2 linked regions of the Pelodiscus sinensis genome follow. Each later gene encodes a partner of the first gene's protein in a complex. Links are inferred from orthologs where the notes say so. Each region holds a gene or a part of one and is shown on either strand. Other genes may lie near its edges.

Region 1 (6,833 bases):
AAAGCCATAAATACGCCCGTTCCGAGCACAATAACTGGAGTTTCTGCCATCTCCGGCTGCTGGAAAGAGACTCGTGCAACTGAGCAAAGGCCGTTGCGGGCTCCTTGGGACTAGCCTTACTCGGCAGTGGGACAGTGGCCCCCCTCAAGAGACTGACGTAATTGAGTGAGATGAGCGGGGAGGTGAGACTTCCCCAGGCTCAGTATGGTGTGTTCACGGCTGGAATCAGAGGATTGCGAAGCAGCATTTCTACCAGAACCGGCCAGTACGCCGCCCCTCCCCCTCAGCCGTGAGCTGCTTGCGCCATGCGTGTGCAGGCAGAGGGGGCACCTGTCAGCGACCTAGGTAGTGTGTGAAGATGTTCTGCAGTTGAGTCTTAGCCCCTTCCTGGGTGTCCTAAGTGCAGTAGCCGTGTCAGTAGCAGCTTTTGCAGTCCCCGCATAGACTCTGCTGCCTCCCAAGGACTGAGCAGAAGAACTAGGCACAGGCTGGGCGGGTGTGAAATCCATTTACGCCTTGTACTTTTGTAACAAAATAAAGTTTCTCCTATTTACTGTACATGGGCATCTGGCTCTTGTTTCCCCAGCGCCCAAGGAGGGACGTCTCCCGGCTGCCCTGCATGTGCGCGCTCTCTGGAGAGGGTGGAGCGAATGAAGGTGGAGCGCTAGATGTGGCGTGTGTCTGTCTGACCTTCTGTGTTAACCATACGGGGCGGAAAGCCAGGAACGTCCTCACCCTAAAGCCAGCTTGGCACTGCTGGGGGCCCCGGAAGGTGGGGGTGAAACATGGCTTGGTCCCAAGAACGGGAGGCATCAAAGGTCTGCTGAACTGTCGCCATGTTTCCTGATTGGAGCCTGCCCAGATGCAAACCTCGTCCGTGCAGACCTGTTGGCTTTTTCTGCCCAACTGAGGCGGGGGCTCTGGCTCTTGCAGGGAAGGATGGGCTGGTTCAAACGAGCTCGGGGGTGGGGGGGCTGTGTCCTGCATACGCTTGCAGGCTAGTCCAGGGCTCTTGGAAATGGCCTTCTCCACAGCACTAGTCCCGTGTGGGAGCTGCTGCAGGGAGCACACGAGGGGAGGAGGAGACAGCCCTGCGGGTGGTGATCTGTGCCCCTCCCACGGGACTAGCTAAACTATCGAACCTCCCTTGTTCAGAGCTAGTTTAATAGATTCACGTCTTTCAGTCGGACTGAGTGCGCAGCTCCAGGGGCCGCCTTTCTCTCAGGTGCCCCGCAGGAAGGCAGCCGGCCACCGCAGCATGAGGATGCAAGGGGCAGTCCGGGGCGAGCTGGCCCCGGAGGAGCGCAGCAGGGCTGAGCACCACGCTGGACGTTGCGCTTCAAACGTTTACAGCCGGCAGGCCCCGGGAGGGGAACTGCAGGCTGCCGAGCCTAGTGCTGAACTTGTACTTCAGACGGCACCATGTCCCCAGGGTCCTTTCCCACGTGAGTCAGGCCGAAGAGACGGCCGGCTTCGTGCTCCCACAGTTTGGCAAACAGGCTTGGGGTTCGCACTAAGCGCAGTCCCTGGACAGGCTGCCGGCCCTAGTGTGTAATGCTGGGACACGTGTGTGCTCTGGCCCAGCCCAGGTCATGTAGTTCGCTTGGCCGTAGCTGCCGCTGCCTTTGGAGAAGGTTCACGTGGTGCTGCCCTCCACAGGGGCCTGTGCACTTCCACTGCAGCCCCCAGCCCCTCGTGGCTTGGCCACAGCTGTGCGGCGTACGCCCCAGGCAGATCAGGGCTTTTTAATCTGGGTCACCAACTGAGAGCAAGCAGAGATTCAGAGCGTGGCCAGGCTCTAGCTTTCCCTGCTGCAGACCTGCGCTGCCTTCCGCTCCCGGGGACAGACGTGGGATATGGTCGGGATAAACAGATCTCCCACTGAGAAGTGTGGCCTCAGAGCTGGGCCCTCCCAGGCAGACAGAGATGGGGGAGGGTTCCCATGTGAGACCCACAGCTGGGGCGAGCTTCCTTGGGGAAACTTCAGTGTAATCCTGGTGTGCGTGGGCCCTGTGCTATGGCCCTTGTGCGATCACAGCTGGGCGGGGGAGGTGAGACCGGCGCTTGCCCCCTTGCCTGGGAGAGTGGAGATCAGTGGCTGCATGGATCAGACATTGTTTCCCAGGCTGGGAACAGTTATTCCCCCCCAGAAGGGGCAGGAATGGGTATTTCCACAGAGGGAGGGGGCATGACATGAAGGAGCACTTAGCTGGAGCGCTAGCTCAGGCCCAGGGCCTGTAAGATGGCTGACTGCTTTCCTAGCGCTCCCAGGACTTGGCCAGGAACAGCTTCCCTGTGCCCTGCTATGGCATCCCCATCATTCCCTGCAGCCTCTAGGACTCCCGGCCCAGCCTCACACGAGTACCTAGATCCGACCAGTATTAGCCTGGCAGAGTCCTAGACTGGGCTGGGGCGGGGGGGGGCCTGCAGACCCTCAGAACGGTCGGTTGCGGGCGGCACACAAGTGAGAAGCAAAAAACAAAACCCCCAACCCCCACTGCCGTGAGCTCTGCCTGAGGAGGAGCAAGCCTCACCCCACATCCCCCTCTACACCAGAGCCTGGGGGCCCAGGCTACAAGAGTTTGCATGTTCCAGCCCCACGGGGAAGGTGGGGGGCTGGAGTGCCAGCGTGGGCTCCCCAATGCTGGGGGGGGTCTTGAGCCTCAGGGGCCTCATCCAGCCCCCAGGCCATAGTTTCCCCACCCCTCCCTAGACTATAAATACTTGCCCTGGGCTAGAAACTAGTGTGTGTGTGTGTGGGGGGGGGGGTGTCAGGGGAAAGGCTGGGGCCTGAGCACTAGGCTGGGACATGGGAAACTGGCAAGTCCTTGCTCTGACAGCGGTTTCCTGGGTGACCTTGAGCAAGTCACTTGCAGTGGGATTTTCAGAAGCCCTTTTGAAAAGGGCACTCGTCTCTGTGCCTTCACGCCCCCCCCCCCCCCCCCCGTATATACACTGGTGACAACGGCGCTTTCCCCTGGCCCGTTGGAGGTGTGAAGACCGCTATGTGGAAGAGCGGGTGGGAGAGGCTCAGATATTCTGGTTACAGGGCCCAGAGAGGTACCGTGCTCAGTCCACCCTGCCGTAGGTGTTCAGTTTCAAGCCTCAGTAGTGGGCTTTTCTCAACCCTTAAAAACCAGTTCTCCAGCCTCAGGCTGCGAGCAGGAGCCACCCCAGGCCACGCTGGTCCCACCAACTGGTGTCTGCCTTCACCGGACTGAAATCAGCCAGGACAGGGCCTTTCTGCAGCCAAGAGCTCAGCATCAGCTGGGGGGGGGGGGGCACTCAGATGTGGCTTTGCACAGATGAGTAGTTGTGAGTCAGGCAGCTGGAGCAATTTACCTGCAAAGGGGAACAGCTGAGTTACCGACCCCACCCTCTCCTCCCCAGGGCTGCATCCACCCAGCAGATAAGGCCAGTGATTAAGGCAGGTTTCAGTGCAGTGAATTTGTCAGGACGCCGCCTGGCAGCATCAGCCTGTGGAGCAGTCAGCCCCTGGCAAGTAGGAACAGGCTCGATCGGTTGGAGAGACAAACTTCAGGAGAGCAGGAGAGCCCGATTCTAATGGCAGCAGCTGATCCCAGAGCAGCCGAGCCCTGGCAAAAAGGGGTTTCCAAGTGTCTTCAGTCACTGGGGCAAGGCGCAGGCCCAGCAATCCAAGGGTGGGTACAATGCAGGGCCGCTTCTATTGGCTGAGGTGAGGCCTGTGTCTTAGAACGTCCTTTCCACCAGCCTCTGCCTACTTTCTGGCCTAAGCTCTGTCCCCTGCCCCTCACTCTGAGCCAGGCTGGTAGGAAGTAGCCTGAGAGGCTCTTATTTTAAAGCAGAAGGTCTGCAGGGGGACGTGGTGCTGTGTCTCAGCGGAGGCGTTTCACGGCAAGTTGCCCGAGTGCCCCTTCCTAAAATGGGAGGGGGGGTACTTGAAATATCCCGTCCCGTCCCTTCCCCACGGTCAGTCGACTCTTGGCCTTGCTTCCAGAGAGCATTGTGGTCTCCCTGACTCTCCGTCCCTCAAAGGGAAGGGGCGGTCATGGGGCCCTGTTCCCCGCCAGTGCCGGCCCGGCGTTCCCAACCTGCTCCTTTGCTCCGTAGGCAGCTTTGGGCTGCACAGGCACAAGCACAAGGTGACTTCTTTCTGACATCTGGTCCATAAGCGCATCCTTTGGGAAACTGAGGCCAGCTCCGCAACACAGTCCGAGTTCAAAGGGAGTGAAATGACTTCAGTGCGAGGTGTGATTTGAGCCCCGGATTAGGATTAACCTGCTGTTGGGGGAAGAGCCCAAGGGACCTGCCAGTGTTTTCAGAGCTTCTTCTGCCCTATAATGTTGGAGCTGCTCAGCCACCCATCTGTTTAGGAGCTTGGTCACGGCCTCTTGCCACGTCTGCCGCTGTGGTGCCCAGCCAGACTCCACTGAGGACGCTAATGGGATGAGGAGCTGCCTGGGGAATCTCCCTGCGTTTGTGTCAATCACACTTAAAATGATAACGTGCCTTTGGAGGGCGTTTGGGGCTGTTGGAAGCTGCAGGATTGGCCATCTCAGTGCTGGAGGGTCTCGAGCGAGCCCAAGCGCAGGTCAGCCGCAGGGCAAGATTCCCCCCGGAGGGTCCTTCTCTGGGCAGGAGAGATGAGCTGGCCCTCCCTGGCCTCGCCAGTGGTTGGCTGCCCAAAAGGGGGCTAGGGCTGCCCGTGAGGAGAGACAGCCAAGCACGCTGTTTGGAAGGAGGCCTTGCGTGAAGATGGATTTCTCTGACATTGGCAGGTGCAGAATCCGTTGCGCTCCAAGGTGAATCACTGCCGCTTGCCTTTTAAGGAGAGTGCTGTCTGGCAGGAAGTGGGGGAGGGGTTCACTGAGTGCTTTTCCGCCACGCCCAGCCCTTGCTCCAGGCTGAGACGCCAAGCCAAAAGCCGATCCCATCAGCAGAGCGGAGCAGAGACTCGGAGGGCTCCTGAGGTGACTGCCTGCTCCCTTTCGAACCGGCCGCTTTGCCACCCGTGCTCCCAGCCATGGCCAGAAACCAGCAGGTGCAGAAAGCCAAGCTGGCCGAGCAGGCGGAGCGCTATGAGAACATGGCAGATTTCATGAAGGCCGTGGTGGAGCACGGGGACGAGCTCTCCAACGAGGAGCGCAACCTCCTCTCGGTGGCCTACAAGAACGTGGTGGGGTGCCAGCGCTCTGCCTGGCGGGTCATCTCCAGCATCGAGCACAAGACTGAGGAGGGCGACGAGAAAACGCCGCTGGTGAGCGAGTACCGCGAGAAGGTGGAGGGGGAGCTGAAGGACGTCTGCAACGTCGTCCTGGGGCTGCTGGACAAGCATCTCATTAAGAAAGCCAGTGACCCAGAGAGCAAGGTCTTCTACCTGAAGATGAAGGGAGACTACTACCGCTACCTGGCCGAGGTAGCCACCGGGGATGACCGCAAGGAGACCATAGAAAACGCCCAGAAAGCTTACCAGGAAGCAATGGACATCAGCAAGAAGGAGATGCAGCCCACCAACCCCATCCGCCTTGGGCTCGCCCTTAACTTCTCCGTCTTCCACTACGAGATCGCCAACGCCCCGGAGCAGGCCATCACGCTGGCTAAAACCACGTTCGACGAAGCCATGGGCGACCTGCACACGCTCAGTGAAGACTCGTACAAGGACAGCACCCTCATCATGCAGCTGCTCAGGGACAACCTTACGCTATGGACGGCGGAGTGCGCGGGAGAAGACGGCGGAGAAGCCGGCGGAGAAGCCGGGGAAGAGCCTAAGAACTGAACTGCAGCCCCCTGAGCGACGGTCGCTTTTCCCACCCCTCCCCCTTTTGTGTAAGACGCCGCTCGGCTCCCGACAGCTCTGCCTGGAGTCCGACAGCAAAGGGGACTGGCTGGTCTGTGCATGTTATTCCCACTTTTTACTCCGTCTTCTCTCGTGGCAGCTTTGGGACAAATCCCCCTTCTCTGGCCCTCCCCCCCCCAACATTTCTTGTGATCTTCTTGCAGTGGGAGAGCACCTGTCACGTTCCACCAACCCGGGTGTAACAGCGGGTCTCCTTGAGCTCCAGCCCTGGGGCCTGATGGGGCTGCCAGCCATTAACATTTAAAAGGGGAAGCGGAGGTTGGTTTTCGGGGCGAAGGTACCAAAGTGGAGCGGTGGCGGCTCACTCGCGCGCTCCCCTTTGCTGCCTGTGGCGCCGTGCTCCGCAGGGTTCTGCTGGGTGTGGCCGGCCGGCCGAGGGAATCTTCGGAGCGGGTGACGAATGACAAACTTGAGGTGCCTCGTGTATTTGTGCCTTGCCGAAGCCGCTGCCTGCCTGTCCCTCTCCAATAAAACTGCACTTCCACCCCTGCCTTTGTCGTCCTCGGCGTCGCTTCTTTCCCGCACCCTGTACGCGGCTCGGTCAGCACTGCCTGCCCCGCTGCACAGGGGCCAGGGAGTCCTGAGCACGCCCCCGGCTCGGCAGGGAGCGAGCGCAGCCTGGGCCCAGGCAGGATGCCTGCTGGCCAGTGCGTGAGGGCTGGCCCCCAGCAGAGGCGCTAGGCTGAAGTCGAGTGTTGGGAGCAGGCTGTGCCCCAGAGAGCCCAGCGGGCCATGAGCCCAACTTGCATTTGAGAAGTGATGGGGATAGGTGGGGGTGGAGGAGCAGCAGCTTTCGCAGAGGAGAGGGACTTTGCGGGGCTCGGGCCGAGGGAGTAGGAGCCCCGGGAACAGCGTCTGTTACCCTTTCTCAGGCTGTCTCCAGCGCCGAGTGTCTGACTCCCCTCCCTGCCCAGCGCTGCTGCTGCTCAGACTGGTTTGAAACCCCAGCCACTGTCCCGTGGCTTCCTGCAGCTAGAACCCACCTGGCCCCAAC
Region 2 (7,674 bases), on another chromosome or scaffold:
GTAAATATGTATAAGATTTTCAAGATTTCTGCTGGGAATACTCTGTAACTAAAGTAAGTTTTCCCTTTGGTACTGCACTAGTTTATGATTTAATTTTTACTGACATTCCACCAGTCATATTATTAGCTTCACAAAATGAAAGTGAAATAATCCTGTATTAATTAAACAGAGCAACTGAATTCCCTCAGTCATTTTATCCTTGGCTGTCTGAGACAGTAACACATTACTGCTTCTCTGAAGAAACTTACACTAGGGTAAGAGCCCGGTGTAATCGAAAAATATCAATATTGGAGTGGACACTTCATTTCTCTCTAATGAGAATAGCCTTTTTTTGAGTGTTGGGCAATGGGTAGGCACTTTTTTTAAGGCTCTGTAAAGGGTGTTTTTTATTCAGCAGAACAATTTTCACTTACAACAGTAGGAAAAGGTTCTATTCTGTAGCAGTGAAGGCAGTTATTTAAAAATTAACGTCTGTGTTCTTGAAAATAAAGGAAATAGAAAATATGGAGTGTATTGCTAAGATCAGGTGACTTGAATATACTTTGATAATATGGCAAAGTGTTTGCTGTGATTTCTTAGAGAAGATATGTCATCTGCTAAAACCGAATTTTTAAACTAACAAACAGCCCTCAGCTTTGTGTGTAGAACAATTCCTGTTTTGTGATGAAGTTCTAAAGAACATGTTGAGGTAGTGTTGGGTTTTTTTTTTGTGTAGGATCAAAGCAGGGAGTGATTAATACTAAATACAGATCGAAGAAGCAGATGGTTCTAAAGTAGTTACCTGCTACCATTTGCCTAACCATTTAAAAACAGGTGAACAAAATTTGCAACTCATTTTAGTGAAAAGATTTTTCTCTACATTAACAGTGTGCCCATAGATTCACTGCATCCCTTCTAATAAGAAGCACTAAAGGCAAACTCCAAAACCAAACCAGTTATGTGTCTAGGAGGAAGGAGACAGCAGCAGAGCAATTTTAATGAAATTAGCATGAATAGCATGAAACAAATTTAAATTGTGTTTTTTATTTGACACTAGCTCACCTAGTTACCTGGCAGAGTGGCAAATAAACATTAATTTGGTCCTCTCATAGTTCCTCTCAAACAACGAGTGATACTCCAACATTTAATTAAAACTTTATTGAAAATCTCATAGCCCATATGTAGGTTTTGCTGAGGTGGGAAACAGCCTTCTTAAATATAATAGGTTCAGAAAAAGTATTTATTTAAAAATAAATAATCTCTGAGCAGACGCTGGAATTAATAATGTTTTTGACCCCTTCCCAAATGTATTTTGGTCTCTTTTAAGCAAATATGTTCTTGTCATAATATACTATGCTGCTTCTGTAAAGTGCCACTGAATCTTCACTTCTTCGGTTGCCTTGAGGTAGATGTGATTTAGGAATCTGGCTCCTTGGATGCCTTGAAATGTCGATTGCATTTAAGTGTGAAGATGCTTAAAGATGTACTGTTCTTACATTTGGTAATTATATGCATGGAGATGTGTGGAGATGCAGACACTGCACAGTAATTCTCATTGACTGCTGCGGACACTTGTGACTGTTTCCTTCCCCCCAATCCCCACACACACATACCCTTTTTTTTGGTTCCATTTCTACTATGTTTTGTATACTCTTCATGGTAAGATTTTTTGTGTGTGTGTACATGTGCATTTTTAATCCATATCCTTTACGGAAGTTCTATAAACCAAAATCTACCTTGATTTTATGTTCTCCCCAGGGCTTTTTATTTATTTAAAATGTGGCACAAGAAGGTTTATTGAGAACTTTTACTACAGTTATCTGCTGTAGAAGCTTTAAAAAAAAAAAGCGCTGAACAGTAACTGGGAAACCCATGTTCAAAACTGTAGATGAATTTCAGTAGTGGAACTAGTTGGAATTCCAGACCCTGGTCTGGTAGAGGTGACACTTTCAGTCCCAGCGGAGGAATCCAACTGCTTTGTTTATCAACACATAAAGTATAGCACTGTGTTTCTGGTCATCTAAGGAGCAGCACAGCAGTGAAGGCAGCTGCTTGCCTGGATGAAAGATGGTTGGTGGAAAGATAGTGATGGTTAATAGGGGGAGAGAAAGATTGGATAGGGAGGGAAAGCTAAGGGGTAGTGAAAACTATGTGGACACGAAAAGGATGGAAGACAGACCACAAGAGAAGGCAATAGACTGTCAGATTTTCAGCAGCTGAGTATAAATATACAGTCTAAAAGATAATGAACAAAAGTAAACATGAGGTAAATTTTGGTTTGATAAGGTTTTAAATGGCTTAATAATCCTATTTCAAATTATATATGTTCTAGGAAATAATGATTTAAAAATGACCTGTATCAAATGACTCATGTGTGGGTGTGTGTATCTCCAACACGGATCATTTTTTAATAAAAAACACACAGGTACAGAGTCTGAAGGAATTTCAAGCCCTAATGTCCGTATAGTTAGAAAATAGCTATTTTAAGAGTATGTATATCTATTTAAAGTTATACATTTAAACTAAAGATGTTTATTAGTTTATATGTTGCTGGAGATGTGCATGAATAAACCAGTTAGTGGGATTTTTACTTTGGATTTATATGGAAATCAAGAAATCAAGTATAGAATAAATATTTAATTTTCAAGTGTTGATCTGATTCCCACAACCACAGCATTTCTTTTTCTCTGTATTTTTTTAAGGAAGGGTTTTTAATTCCGTAAAATGATTAAATGTATCTTGTTTTAAGGTTTGATTAAAAACTAATCTTTTTTTTTGTCTGTATGGTGTGTCTAAAGGATGCTTGGGCTTTACATCTCAGAGCTCTTCTAATGCACTTCTCACAACCAAATTTACATCTTAATTACAGAGTTCACATTTAACAATATAGACAGCATAATGCTACTGGTAATTAAGCTTTTACTACCTGCTTTTATTCAGTAGTTAGAGCTATAGTTTTGCTGTGTTGGTTCTGATCCTTAAACTTGCATGTATTAATGCTTAATATGTAAGGAACAGGCCTATCCTTTGCATCTGGTTGAATACATTACACTGGAAATCACTGTCTAACATAAAGAGCTTTAAACATGTCCATTTCATTTTTTTTCAATTAATTTCTGGGGTTTCTTTTCCCCAAAAGCTGTGTAATAGATTTGAAGAAGACATTTGTATTCCCATTTGTGAATGGTATTAATGCATTCTGAGGGTTGCACTGATTTGTTTTGATCTTGAAAGATTGTCATTTGCATCATGTAGGGCTCCAGTCACAAAAGATTTGTGCTCACTAGAGCTGAATTATAAAAAATTGTGGGTCCTCCACTCTTAAGAAGGTAGCAGTTATCTCCTTGTCATAAATAGCTGATATTTATTTCCACCGCAACTTGGTAGAAAAAATTCTTTCTCTGCTACCAGAAAATGTATATTTTAGTTGTAATGTTAATAATAAGCTGTAGATTTTGAGGGAAATGTATCATACCCCCTTTTAAAATTGGTGTTTTCAGTGTAAACTGTGTCTGATTTTGCGTATGATCACTTTCTTAAAATTGGTTTATTCAATGAATTTTATTTAATAAGGTATATCAGTGTGAATTATAAAAGCCAGTGGTTTGGAGCAATTGGGTTCAAAGATGATTATGTAGGCATATATACAAGTAATGGATTTGATATATTTACTTCCAGTTTGTTAAAATTTTCTTTAAACAGTAAATTAAAAAACTGCAGGGGTATTCATTCAGACATACCACAATGTAGTCTGATCTTATTAAAATGAAACAGACTGAGTTGAGTCCATTATAATCCCTCCACAGTTACAGAAGAAATTAGTCAGTGCTGGAGCTTTCCCTTCTGTTTATGAACATGCAGATATGTGCATTTATGGCTAATGTGTTAAGTATGCCATATTAACATGGATCTGATATATGTATGTGTACACATATGTGCTCATAACAATGCGTGCATCTGTGCTGTTGAAACAAATGCATTTTTAAAATATTAGTTTTTCTGTTAAGTTGGTATCGATTTTCAGTTCTAAATATTCTTTTTTTAAATAAAACTGACAACACAAACTTACAGTTAAAATGACAATGCAGATCTTTAGAACAGTTAATTTTGAGCTTAGTTTCTTAGTACATACCAGAAAATTTAGAAGATAAAAAAATCATTTTTGCATGAAAAAAGCAAAAACACTTAAACCCTCTTCCCCTCCCCCAAGCAAAATCCTCCCAAATAACAACAATGGAATAAACAGACAATAGCAGCACAAACTTAGTTCTCTACCTTATGATGAATTCTTCACAACATTAACTGAGAGTCTGCATGTATTTCTTCCATTCAAGGTACTTGACTAATAGTGTTTTAAGTTACAGAAAACATCTAGTGCCTAGAGAGTTATGCTAATTAGGTTTTCTTTGTAGCCCCTTAGAAAAATATTGGTAACATTTACATTTCTTTTTATTAAGTCCCTACTCTGTTTTCAGTCTCTTTCAGTTTCTCCACCCCTCTGTACCTGCCTGGCTTTTCTCAATCTGTGCAGTCTCTGTTCTCCTCACATCTGATTGGCTAATGTGCTACCAATCCAGTATCTGTCTGGGCCAGTGGGACTGCATATGTAAAGCCCTACTTCATATTAATAAGCTCCAATCGGGGCTTTAAGTCCTTGATTAGGAGACTGTGAGAGCTTTTGGTCCCAACTGGCTGTGCCTATAGGCTTGTCACCAGGAGAACATTTGTGTTAATTGCACTGTGCTCTGTCAAGGAAACTTTGATTTATTGCTGGGGTGCACAAATAATGGTTGCCGAGCGCACATGGATTCGGTAGAACTTTGTCTTCCTGAATCTTTTTCCCTTCACTACGAAGAAGAGTAGGTATCTTTCTTCCTTTCTTTTTTTAACCTTTTTTTTTAATGAAAATAATGTAAACATTGATTCAGGTAGTGCTGTGTGGCTTGTGTGTGCATGAACGGTTATTTGTGTCTGTCTTGTCTTTTTTGTGCTGAGGATGATCTGCTAATTCAGTAAGTGGAGAATTGTTCTCTGACTACAATGTTACCTTTGAGTCAAAGCCCTGTGACTGTCAGTAAAACAGCTGTGTGACAGTCACTTCTTATTCAGGTACTAATAATAGGCACTTGGCACAAATGCTTAGTGAATTGTTAAAACATGCCTTGCAGTAGGACACATTTTCCCAGGGAAAGGATTTAAAATAATGTATTATACAAATGATTTACACTAGTGCCTTTCTTGTGTATATGCGGTTTGATAGATATTCTGGTCTCCCTGTCATTTTTGACTGTGCAGAGTTAGCCGGGAAAATAACTGCTAATACCTCTTTAAGGATGAATATTCACAATTAGCCTTCTGCAATTCAGGTCTAAAATGCTGTTCAACCAGCACTTCTTCACTGACATATCAGTCTACTGAATAACAAGGGAATTCTGTGCTTTTTAATAAAGGAGAAGAAAATATTAAGGAAGAAAAGAACCAAACTGACTTTAATATTTTGTACTTTAATAGAGAACTGATATAATGAAGTACATTTGTTCCCATTAGCCTGTAGCTTGTTTCATTGTGTTGGTTTGTCCCTGCAAAAGACAATAAACTACTTTTTTAATATATGATTTTATATAGTTGTTTCAGCTGTACCTATTAACTACCTAGTTTTGTATATATGCAGGTATAAATACTTGGACTCTCTGAGATCAAAAGCAGAAAACCCAAACAAAATCCAGCATGCTAGTGGTGATGAGTGGCTCATAAACTTGATTTCAACCTATAGTCAGGATTAAATATTAGTATATCATGGGAGCTGTCATTGATTCATTTTTCTTTATGTCGAGCCAGTTATTTTGCTGGGCTTTCCTATTACACTAGCAATGAATGTTGTAATACTGAAGAAAAATGCTAATAGTAAGTACATCCCTAGATGCACTGGGTAGGGAGGCTGTATAGAGAGGTGACAGTGTATTATAGGTAGATGCCCACTAGCTGTCCTTAGTGTCTGCATATTGCATAGCTATTTGTAATTAAGCCAGAGATGGAAAGTGACTTACAGTGACTGTATGTTTGTGATATAACATAGGAGTTAAAGAGAACAGCAGGAAATAGACTTGCCATTAGGAAAACAGTTTGAAGTAAGAGAGGGAAGAACCCCCTTTAAAACTGAAGGGGTAAAGAGATGAAAATAAACAAAGATAGGTTGCCCACTAAGATATGGTTTATAGGTCAGTGCTCCATGAACTGCAGTAAATTGTCTTCACATATGAATAAATGCAATGTTCACAGCTTTCACTTAATATTTTAATTTTTCCCTAGAAAATAAGGGTTTAAAAAAAATTAAAGGTAGGAAGAGGTTCTCTTTGAAAGGAGCTTTCCTGAATTTACCTTCTTACAGCTAATTTGAATGATTAGTTTAGATAAGCCTCTTAAAGTAGATGCATTTAAATGAAATCAGGGCACATGTCTTTTTGGCTCTGGTGCAAGATTTAAACTAATTCTCCTCCCCCCCCCCCCCTTTGGCTCAACTAAAAGTCTTCTTAAAACAATCCAATTTACTTTCCGGATGTAGGCTGTGTTGGGTGCGTGGTTGAGTGGACAGACAGAAATATCTAATATTCAGAAACACATCTGTGACTCTGTCTCAATTAATAAACACCAAAACTATCAATATTCATAGTAATTGCATTTTGTCTGTAAGCTGTCATGTCCATATGCATAAGGACCTACAGAGAATGCTATATAAGTGAATGAAGCATTTCCAGAAGTGGATAATTTCTACAGTTAATTATTGCGTAGAGGAGGATCCCAGCTAAAAATTGACAGAACATTTTGGGACATCTGCCTGACCGTCGCTAGGTATGCTTTGATTTTTTAAGGCAGAGCATGTTAAAGAATGCAATCACTTACAGCCATTTACAGCCTTGGTTTTTGCTTTACAAAAGTAACAATAATTCTAATATTTAATAATAATAGTTAATAACCTAACAGATGCAATAAATATATCTGCTCATTTTGACATATGTGTCAGTTTAATCATTCTAAATGAATCGTGCTCATAACATGAAATCTCCTTCAACCTCTGATTAAAATGTAACATTGACTACAGGATTATAGAGCTGACTTAATTTTACTGACTGTTTTAACAGTTGTCACAGCTGTTGGAAGAAGGAAAGGCAATTGAAATACTCCAAAGAAGGGGAGGAGGGGGAGGAACTAGTTTAGTAAATTTAAACATGATCTCTGAATGCCAAACATAGAAAACTGAATAGATTTGTGACTGCAGATAGCTTCTGTGCAGTGTGTACATTTGCCCTTTGTGCTTCATTCTATTTGTTTCATGAATTTGAACCCCTCGACCCCTTCCCTACTTTCCCCATTCAAAAAATATGCAAAAGAATTTAATGAAAAAGAAACAAATGTTCCTGTTACAATGTTGCATGCATTTGTATTTGATCTATAGTATGAGAAATAAAATGCACAGATTATGACAGGAAAACTCAAATAAGATAAGTGAAATTTAGATAAAGAAATGGACCTATAATGGAGTTACATACAGTAGAAAAAATACTTTGATGCGATGACAGTGTACATATATTTCATATTATTTTTTAAACAATATCATGCCCTAATCTTGGTATTGTTTGTATGTTTACTTATATATAATGAGAGAGGGAATTTGTCTTAGTTTCATTCTTCCCCTAT

Evidence for each region. Proteins that work in one complex are often made in the same cells at the same time.
Region 2: the proteins of SFN (region 1) and ESRRG are in contact, whole or in part, in a crystal structure (PDB 8BJG), measured with the Homo sapiens proteins. The link is inferred for Pelodiscus sinensis from reciprocal best matches to the Homo sapiens genes SFN and ESRRG. Residues at the interface, in NP_006133.1 of Homo sapiens: Asn42, Ser45, Val46, Lys49, Arg56, Arg60, Arg129, Tyr130, Glu133, Gly171, Leu174, Asn175, Val178, Glu182, Leu222, Asp225, Asn226, Leu229, Trp230; in NP_001429.2 of Homo sapiens: Arg175, Arg176, Arg177, Lys178, Ser179, Cys180, Gln181, Ala182.

Annotation. Positions count from the first base shown.
Region 1 is NC_134735.1:2,336,082-2,342,914, forward strand, and holds SFN (14-3-3 protein sigma), read left to right. Parts: upstream 1-4,900; 5' UTR 4,901-5,005; coding exon 5,006-5,758; 3' UTR 5,759-6,330; downstream 6,331-6,833. UniProt on the Homo sapiens protein: Adapter protein implicated in the regulation of a large spectrum of both general and specialized signaling pathways. Binds to a large number of partners, usually by recognition of a phosphoserine or phosphothreonine motif.
Region 2 is NC_134713.1:150,705,934-150,713,607, reverse strand, and holds the start of ESRRG (estrogen-related receptor gamma), read left to right. Parts: upstream 1-4,624; 5' UTR 4,625-4,782; coding exon 4,783-4,838; intron 4,839-7,674. UniProt on the Homo sapiens protein: Orphan receptor that acts as a transcription activator in the absence of bound ligand. Binds specifically to an estrogen response element and activates reporter genes controlled by estrogen response elements.